Caenorhabditis elegans: one gene and its partner. The protein of the gene in region 1 interacts with the protein of each later gene in a pairwise test. Each region holds a gene or a part of one and is shown in the gene's direction. Other genes may lie near its edges. The genes, in order: rol-8 and klp-15.

Region 1 (3,603 bases):
TGCAAATCAAGCACCGGTCTCAAATACTCCACAAGATCCGAATGCTCCAAAGCTGCCAACTGACTTTTCACATGCTCTTCGTAATGAGAAAAAATGATTTTGATATTCCTGTTAATCTTTTTATTCGTTTTATTTATCCCTTTCGTGTTACCAATTGAAAAATTAGAGTTATCAAACCTAGTCCTTCTTTAGTATTATTCAAACTAGTTGTTATTTTTATTATTTTCATTTTTCTTCAATCTTCAAAACATTTTCTCCGTCTGTGACGTCATAATCTATTTTTCCGAACCTCTTTTGAAAACCAAAATCCACAAAAAAATCAATTGTTTACGGGGCCACACATTTTCCCTTTTCTTTTCTTCACCGTCACCTCTTTATCTTGTAAATCTGAAAAACTTTGAAAAAACGTCGTAGCTATGCACAATTGTAATCACCACTTCCAGTTTCCCAGTGTTTTCCTTTTATGTTTTTTTTGCGTATTTGAACCTCATGTTTGCATTTCTTGTGTGGGTAGTTCAGATTATTTAATTTTTAAAACGTATTTTAATGAATCTTGAATTTTTATCAAGTCGTGAAGCACAACATAGATTCAAAAGAAATTGGAATATCATATCATCAATAAAGAAAAATGATATAGTTAGTTAGTAGCTGAAGAAAAGAAAATAGGTTTATCGGGTGAAACTTGTTTATCAGTCTCCTTCCTGGAAACAAACGAAGATGATAACAACAGCTTACCAGTTAATCAAGTGACATACTTATCCAATTAGATGAATGATAGAGACTGGATAGACAAAAAAGAAGATGTATTGATGGAAAAGATTCCAGTAAGTTCGAAGAGTTGGGTATCTTTTTTACAGATATTATTACAAAATTTAGCAATTGTACAAACACTACCAGGTCTTGGAACGATTGAAACTTTGCAGCTACCGTAACAACGGCAAAACATTGGCAAAACAAAATTTTTTGGCGTTTTCTTAATATTATTCTAGGAATTTTTGGTGTTTTTCTGATTTAAATTTTGGTAACGAGCAAACTAAAGTTTTTTGAAAGAAAAACATCTGGATACGGTAACTACAAAGTTTCAGTCGTGTCGAGACCATGTACTGTATTTTGGCAAAAATTACTGTACCCGGTCTCGACACGAAAAAAATACAAAAGCCTATGCGTATGAATTTTAACAAATCAGGATAAAGACTATAAAAATCGCTTGAAATTTCTTTAGAGGAATTTAAGTTACTAGCATTATTGCATTTCACAAAAATGTGTCGTTTCGAGACATTCAGAAGTTTACACAATTAGAAATTTTAACACATATTATCAGCAGCTTGAAAGCTCAGTTTTTCAGATACCGTCTTGTTCTGATCGAGATTGGATTTTCATGGAACTCTGGAATAACTTGCAAATTGCAACTTTTAAACTTTTCATGAAAGTATTACTCGTCCCTCACACCTCTTTATTTGATGGCAGGTGTACACACACGGATCTCGATGTATCTTTCTCTCATTCTTCCTAGGTTGAATCGGTTATCGTCCTTGTATACGGAGGCCCTCTGCGCCGCAACAACGGTCTCTCTCATTCAAAAAGACACAGAAAGGCGGGACTTGGCGCCCAAGTTATCCAGTTCTTGGGGGGCGCCTACATAAGGAGAAGAAGGAGAACGAGCAGAAGATCCGATCGGCCAATCAAGCAGATATGGACGTTAAAGAGACAGAAGAGCAACGGCAGATGCGTCGCATCGCTTTTGTTGCCGTTGTTGTATCCACTGCTGCTGTAATTGCATCTGTTGTAACACTTCCAATGCTCTATAATTATGTTCAGTCGTTCCAATCTCATCTTATGGTCGAAACCGATTACTGCAAGGTAAATTCATTTCATTCTTTTTTCATTAGTTTCTTTTTTTCAATTTCTCCTTCTATATTTTCTACTTTATTTCTTTCTTACTATAGGCTCGTTCTCGTGACATGTGGCTCGAGATGACAGCTCTTCAAGCTGGAAAGGGAATGGGACATCGTATGAAGAGAGCCTGGCTCTTCGGACAATGGATCCCAGAGACTTCCGCTGGAGGAGGTGGATCTGGAAACGGAGGTGGAAACTATGGATCCGGAGCCTCTACCGGTGGTGGTGCCAACACCGCTGGATATGGAGGATACGGAGCCGCTGTTAACGCCGAGCCAGCAGCTGTCTGCTGCACATGTAACCAGGGAGCCGCTGGGCCACCAGGACCAGAAGGACCACCAGGAAATGATGGAAAGGATGGAAGAAACGGAAATGATGGAAAGAACGGTAGAGATGCTGAGGTTCTTCCAGCTCCAGCTTCCGAGCCATGTATCATCTGCCCAACTGGAGCTCCAGGACCAATGGGAGCTATGGGACCAAAGGGACCACCAGGACCAAAGGGATCTCCAGGAGAGCCACCACAAGACGGAAAGTCTGGAGACGATGGTATGGCTGGACAACCAGGACCAATTGGAAGACCAGGACGCGACGGAATGAAGGGAGCGCCAGGAGCCGCTGGACGCCTCATTCCGGTGCCAGGACCACAAGGAGCACCAGGAAAGCCAGGACCAATCGGACCACCAGGACCGAAAGGAAACCCAGGACCAGACGGGCAATCCTACCAAGGACCACCAGGACCACCAGGAGACTCAGGAACTCCAGGACACGAAGGTCGCGCCGGACCAAATGGACCAGCTGGACCACCAGGAGACAATGGAGAGAAGGGAGACTGTGGACATTGCCCACGTAAGCTTCCTTTTACATTTTTCAAAATCTATAAATTCTGTTGTTTTCAGCACCGCGTACCCCACCAGGCTACTAATCACCATCCACTTCATGATCAATTTCGCCCGTTTCGGGTGTCTTTTTTTCGTATCAAAAATAAATTTTTTCGCAATAATTCCGTATTTTTTGTCTCTTGTGAACGAATACATTCTGGACATTGAAAGGAATGTGCGCTGTATCCGGGCGTAGAAGCCAACAAAAATCGAAATTCAGCTGTTGTTACCAAGTTTTCCTCCGCTCGCTGTCTCCCTTTCCTTTCTTATCTACTCCCCCCTCAAACGAACATGGATAATCAGTTTTGGAATACGGCGCCGCGGCGCAGTCATTAAAGGAGAAAGGATGGGGAAAGATGAAAAGACAAAAAACTCGACAAGCAGACAGAGATACAATGGAACGTAGCTGGATAGATGAGTATCGTGATGATGTCCGGGATCCACGGATTATAAATGAGGTGCTGACAATGATAAAAGAATGAAGAAGCAATGAGGATTGTGGAAAGTGTAAGAAGAGTGAAGAAAAGCGGATTGTAAGAAAATTAGGTAATATTTTTAGAATTCTATGGTTGCGATCGCTCGTATTTATTAGTTCAAACAATTAACAAAACATAATCACATCGGAATGCCAATAAATAATATTACCATCGCCTAACTTTCTCATAATGTTTACTGTAAGATCCATTTTTGTTGTGGAATAGTTTTGGAATAATTAATCTAAAATGAAATTCAAATCGTGAAAAAAACGTACTGCTCTGAGCGTTGTGAAACAATCGCAGAGCAACGTAGACTCAGACTTATAAATGAAAATTATGTATTTTGGAAGTTT
Region 2 (4,851 bases), on another chromosome or scaffold:
TCAAAAAAGGAGAAAAACCGAAAGTCCGATTTACCAGTCCAATTTTGAAGCTAAAACATTCAAAATAATATCACAACATAAATCTTACCGTACAAACGTGTTCTTCATGTTCATCAGGTGTCGTATCCTTTCTTTTTGTCTTTGAAGGTGTTCTCATGAATAACGGGAAAATTGTTCTCAATCCGAGCATTTCGACAAGTTTATTGCAATTTTCGATTCCCTCGTCTCCTGATGTTGCATGGTTCAGAACTTTCAGAGCACTTTGTCTTGCTTGTTTCTTCTCTCGGAGCATCAAATTCATCAATTGAAGACCTTCTCCGTCGAGGAACTTTTCTGAAAACATTTATTTTGAACAAGAGCAATTTTTTTGGTGTTTATATTCAAAAAAATTCGTACTTCGATTAGCCGGATGCATAAGTGCGGCACAAAGTGAGTTGAATAGATTTTCCATGTATTCTCGTTCGTCTACATTTGCTGGATCGTTCTTTTTGTACACAGCAATGGTCTTAAAAGTTCAATTTATTCTTGATACTTTGTTTGGCTACTCACTCTCAATAAAATATCGATGCCATCAATTTTCTCTGTCAGCTTTGCCTTTGCAGTATCAGAAGTCTGCAATATGACTGAAAGAAGTTCCGAAGCGTACATCTTATTCGCATCAAATGCACCTTTCTGAAAGCATCTTTTCAGAAGCCAAACCGTGAATCCGTGCTTTACGCATTCTTCAGTAATGTCATCGCGGAAACCAATCATCTGAAAATATATTGTTTTGTTTTTCAAATATCGATTTTTCTTACATTGTCCACAACTCCGAGTGCATTATGGACGCCATCCGCTTCATCTTTGACGCTTTCATCGAGCCTCTCTACGCATGCTAACAAAGTTGTGATAATCGATCCAGACACAAGACTTTCAATAAGTTCAGCTGCTCCATCTTCTCCTTCGTTCATCACATCATCGTCTGTAAGTTCTCTCAAGAGACTAAGTGTTGCACACACAATATCAGTATTCTCGTGTCCTAATAATTGAAGAAGAATTTCAACTCCGTTGACTTCAACAAACGATCCATAAAGGTCTGGTTGAGAAGCCAGACTATGCATTTCTTGAATTGCCTTGTCTAATTCAATTTCCGATTCCATGAATTTCTGAGCATCATCTGGATTTTTAACTCTTTGTTCTCGATTTAATCGCATCTTTTTGTCAAGTTGAATAACAAGTTTCTTAACTTGCACATCGTCGAGAGCCACATAATTTGATTGATCGGCTTCCAAAGCCGCAAGAATATCTTCTGGTTTTGGCTGGCCAGCTTGAGATGAAGAAGAAGCACTATCGTCAAAACGAGATTTCTTTCTTGCTGGCTGTAAACTATTTATAATCAAAAAAATTTAATATCAATTTACCTGATACAAAGAAGATGTCGATGATTTGATAATCTCTGTTACATCGATAGAAGTCATCTGGAAACAATCATTTACCAACCTATATTTTTAAAAAACCACAGAAAAATCAAAATATTGAAGAAAGTGTATAAAAATTTTCGCAAGCAAATATTTTCAAATTTTTTTTTTGCAATTACTTTGGTGTAGATATACGGTAAACAAGGCGCGCACCGGAATATCGGAGTGTCGCTCACATTATAATTTCTAGACCTGCATTTTATATATTTGTTTGTATAACCTGATATCAGTGCAATTATGGATAAGCCTTCTGTGTTATAGTTATAAATAATTTTTACGGCATTCTTTATGCCTTTTGACAACAAAATAATTATATCCGACAATTCTGGATGAGCTCAACATGATATAAATTTTTGATCTAATACCGTAGTTGACTACGGTAATCCATTCGATTTGGCGGGAATTTTCAGAGGCGGAGTTCAACTTTGAGCGGGAAAATGTCAATGAAGGGGCTGATTTCCTCATTTTTGTCCCAAATTTCGCGATGAATGTCGCTCGAAGAAGAAGTGGCCTGTTTCGGTCGACTATCGGAGCAACGCCGAAGATCACAAGAGGACGTGCTGCCGCGCCATCCACCAAAGAAGCCAATTCAACAACAATCCCAAGACAGTCGGCTCCTGGAGGAATAACGATTGGAGGTAAATTTGTCATTTGTGTTTTTAAATAACTTCCTCGTGATTTCAAAGTGTTCACACTTCTAAATAAAACATGTTTTTGTTTTTGTTTAAAACCTTTTTTGTTAACAACTACTTTAATTACGAGTTTTCAGCCGCTGCTCGTCGTCCTCCGTCTCGTTTGCCTACCCCCACAACGCCTGCAACTGGTAGAGCATCGTTGCCAGAACGATCAGCGATGGCCAAACCAGCGTCGTGTTCCCGTCCCATACCAACGATGCAATCCACCGCGAGCCGTATTTCCACACTGACGGCAGCTTCTACGTTTCGACAACTTCGCACAGGTCGTCCACCGCCACCATCCACTCAACGCTCAACTGCGACTTCTTCCCTGAAGCCGTCGGTGACAAGAGCCCGACCAGTGGCACAGAAGCCTATTCTCCCTTCTAAGATGGCGCTTCTTGAAGAGAAAATTGCGCAGCTCGAGAGTGCGATGGCTGAGGCTACCGACTTTGCTGAACATCAGAAGAGCAAGATCCAAATCCTGGATGGCAAACTTGAAGGAGCGGATCGCAAGCTGATTTCACTGCAAGATCAATTGAGCACGCTGAAAGAAGTCAACAAGGCGAAAGTGGAGGAGTGCGAGGATTATCGTGTGCACAACAACGATCTCCGGGATCTGCTCAACGAAAAGGAAGCTGAGTTGAGAAAGTTGCACAACGATGTTGTCGATTTACGCGGTCAAATTCGTGTGGCTGTTCGCGTTCGGCCGTTGATCAAATCTGAAGCCGACGCCTCGAGTTCTGCAATTGAGTATCCGGCTATCGATACCATCAGAATCAATGAAGGCTCGAAGCCTGGAATTGTGGTCAAATTCGAGAAGGTTTTCACGCCAGTCTTCTCGCAGAAGGAAGTGTTCGCGAACGTCGAGGAGTTCATTCGGGTTAGTTTCAAAATATAATATTAATAATTGAAAATTGATAATTTCAGTCGTCACTGCATGGGTACAACGTCGGATTGATTGCCTATGGACAAACCGGAAGTGGCAAAACTCACACGATGCGAGGAGGAAATGGTGAAGAGGAAGGAATCATCCCGAGAGCAGCTGCATTTCTGTTCGCCGAATCCAGAAAGCTCGAGTCACTTGGATGGAAATTCGACTTCTCGTTGTCTTTCCTAGAAGTCTACAACAACGTGGCATACGACCTTCTCAGTGACCGCGCCGTTGTCCAACTTCGTTTGAACGATCAAACGGTTTCCATGATTGGGCTCTCCGAGCACACGATTTCCAATGTCTCGGATGTGGCTAGACTTCTTCGTGTAGCAGACGGTGGCAGGAAGACGGCGGCGACAAAGTGCAATGAGAGCTCGTCTCGTTCGCACGCCGTTTATATGTGGAAGATTACAGCTCATCAGCCATCAACTGGTAACTTTCGAAAATAAAAATAATTAATTCACAATATTGATATACAGGAATTTCAACATCGTGCCAGCTCAAACTTGTGGATCTCGCAGGATCCGAACGTGCCAAGGAGTCTGGTGTCAGTGGCGACCAGTTCAAGGAGATGACTAATATCAACCAGTCGTTGTCTATCCTTCAGATGTGCATCAGCCAGCAAAGATCCCAGAAGGGACATGTTTCATATCGCGACAGCAAACTGACACAAGTGCTGATGGACTGCTTGGGACGTGGCAACTCGAAGACTATGGTTGTGGTCAATCTCAATCCATGCAACGAGCAAGCGACAGAGTCCAAGAGAAGCATCGAATTCGCCTCAAAGATGCGCAGTACTAACATCGGATCGGCCGTGCAGCAACGGACTCTCTTGGGTGACGTGTCCCAGATGTCTATGAACTAGACATATAATTCTATTCTAACATTTCATGTAAAATAACGTTATTTTTATTGCCTTATGCAAACCTTTTATACTGATGTAACCTAAATATTTCGATCATTAACAAAATGAACGAATTTCAATTTTACTTTGCGTTTTTTGAGTTTTAATCGTCTGTTTCAAAACAAAGGGAGATCCCGATAGGAAAAATATAGTCCGGTCTAAATGCTGTTGATTGGGTTATAAATACATTGTTTTGAGCTTTATGAGAATATTACATTTCTTACTGTAGTATGTATGTCTCGACCCGACGAACTTTTGATGAATTCGAAAATGGCATGACCCTTTAAAGAGTACTGTAGTTTCAAACTCTCGTTGTATCGAAAACTGTACAGTTTTCCATACAGTTTGTTTAAATTTATGTTTTTTGTTACATTTCTGTTTTAAAGAAATTTTAACGAAAGAAAAAGCTTAAAACAGTTGTATTGTATTTGGAAACAACAAAAAAACAAGAACAATTAAATAATACATGACTATATTGTGGTACACGTGAATTCAGGTAGCAAGCAATAGAAATAATTACAAAATATTGAGAGCATCAGAAATCGTTTTCACGTCAAGAATGAGCGGAATTTGGTTACGCTCTGGTGAAACCTCAACCCATAAAAGAAGATCAAGACGTTTGAATCCAAGAAGTTTACGTTCGGCTTCGCATTTCTTCGCACGTAGCTCCTCGACTTGATTTTTGTTGAATAAATTCTGAAAAAAAAAGGTTTACGAATAGCACATTAATTTTGTAACCTTGCACTGTTGAACATCAAATCCAAAAATTCGATTTAGAAGGCTCGTGGAAACGCGGCAGATAACATTTTTTACTGATGTATCTGTTACTCGTATCTGGAAAATAAAGTATTTAGAAATGAATTATTTGGACAATATACCTGT

Evidence for each region.
Region 2: the proteins of rol-8 (region 1) and klp-15 interact in a two-hybrid assay, tested with the Caenorhabditis elegans proteins (one large-scale study listed by BioGRID).

The regions. Positions count from the first base shown.
Region 1 is NC_003280.10:7,542,442-7,546,044, forward strand, and holds rol-8 (Cuticle collagen 6), read left to right. Parts: upstream 1-1,666; 5' UTR 1,667-1,692; coding exon 1,693-1,860; intron 1,861-1,946; coding exon 1,947-2,742; intron 2,743-2,792; coding exon 2,793-2,818; 3' UTR 2,819-2,894; downstream 2,895-3,603. Other genes in the region: nfi-1 (Nuclear factor I family protein), read left to right, coding at 1-97. UniProt on the Caenorhabditis elegans protein: Nematode cuticles are composed largely of collagen-like proteins. The cuticle functions both as an exoskeleton and as a barrier to protect the worm from its environment.
Region 2 is NC_003279.8:5,576,272-5,581,122, reverse strand, and holds klp-15 (Kinesin motor domain-containing protein), read left to right. Parts: upstream 1-1,928; 5' UTR 1,929-1,941; coding exon 1,942-2,095; intron 2,096-2,226; coding exon 2,227-3,014; intron 3,015-3,061; coding exon 3,062-3,497; intron 3,498-3,544; coding exon 3,545-3,930; 3' UTR 3,931-4,053; downstream 4,054-4,851. Other genes in the region: ctnb-1 (Beta-catenin-like protein 1 N-terminal domain-containing protein), read right to left, coding at 89-333, 397-505, 550-753, 798-1,358, 1,401-1,457; rmh-1 (RecQ-mediated genome instability protein 1 homolog), read right to left, coding at 4,486-4,665, 4,708-4,803, 4,848-4,851.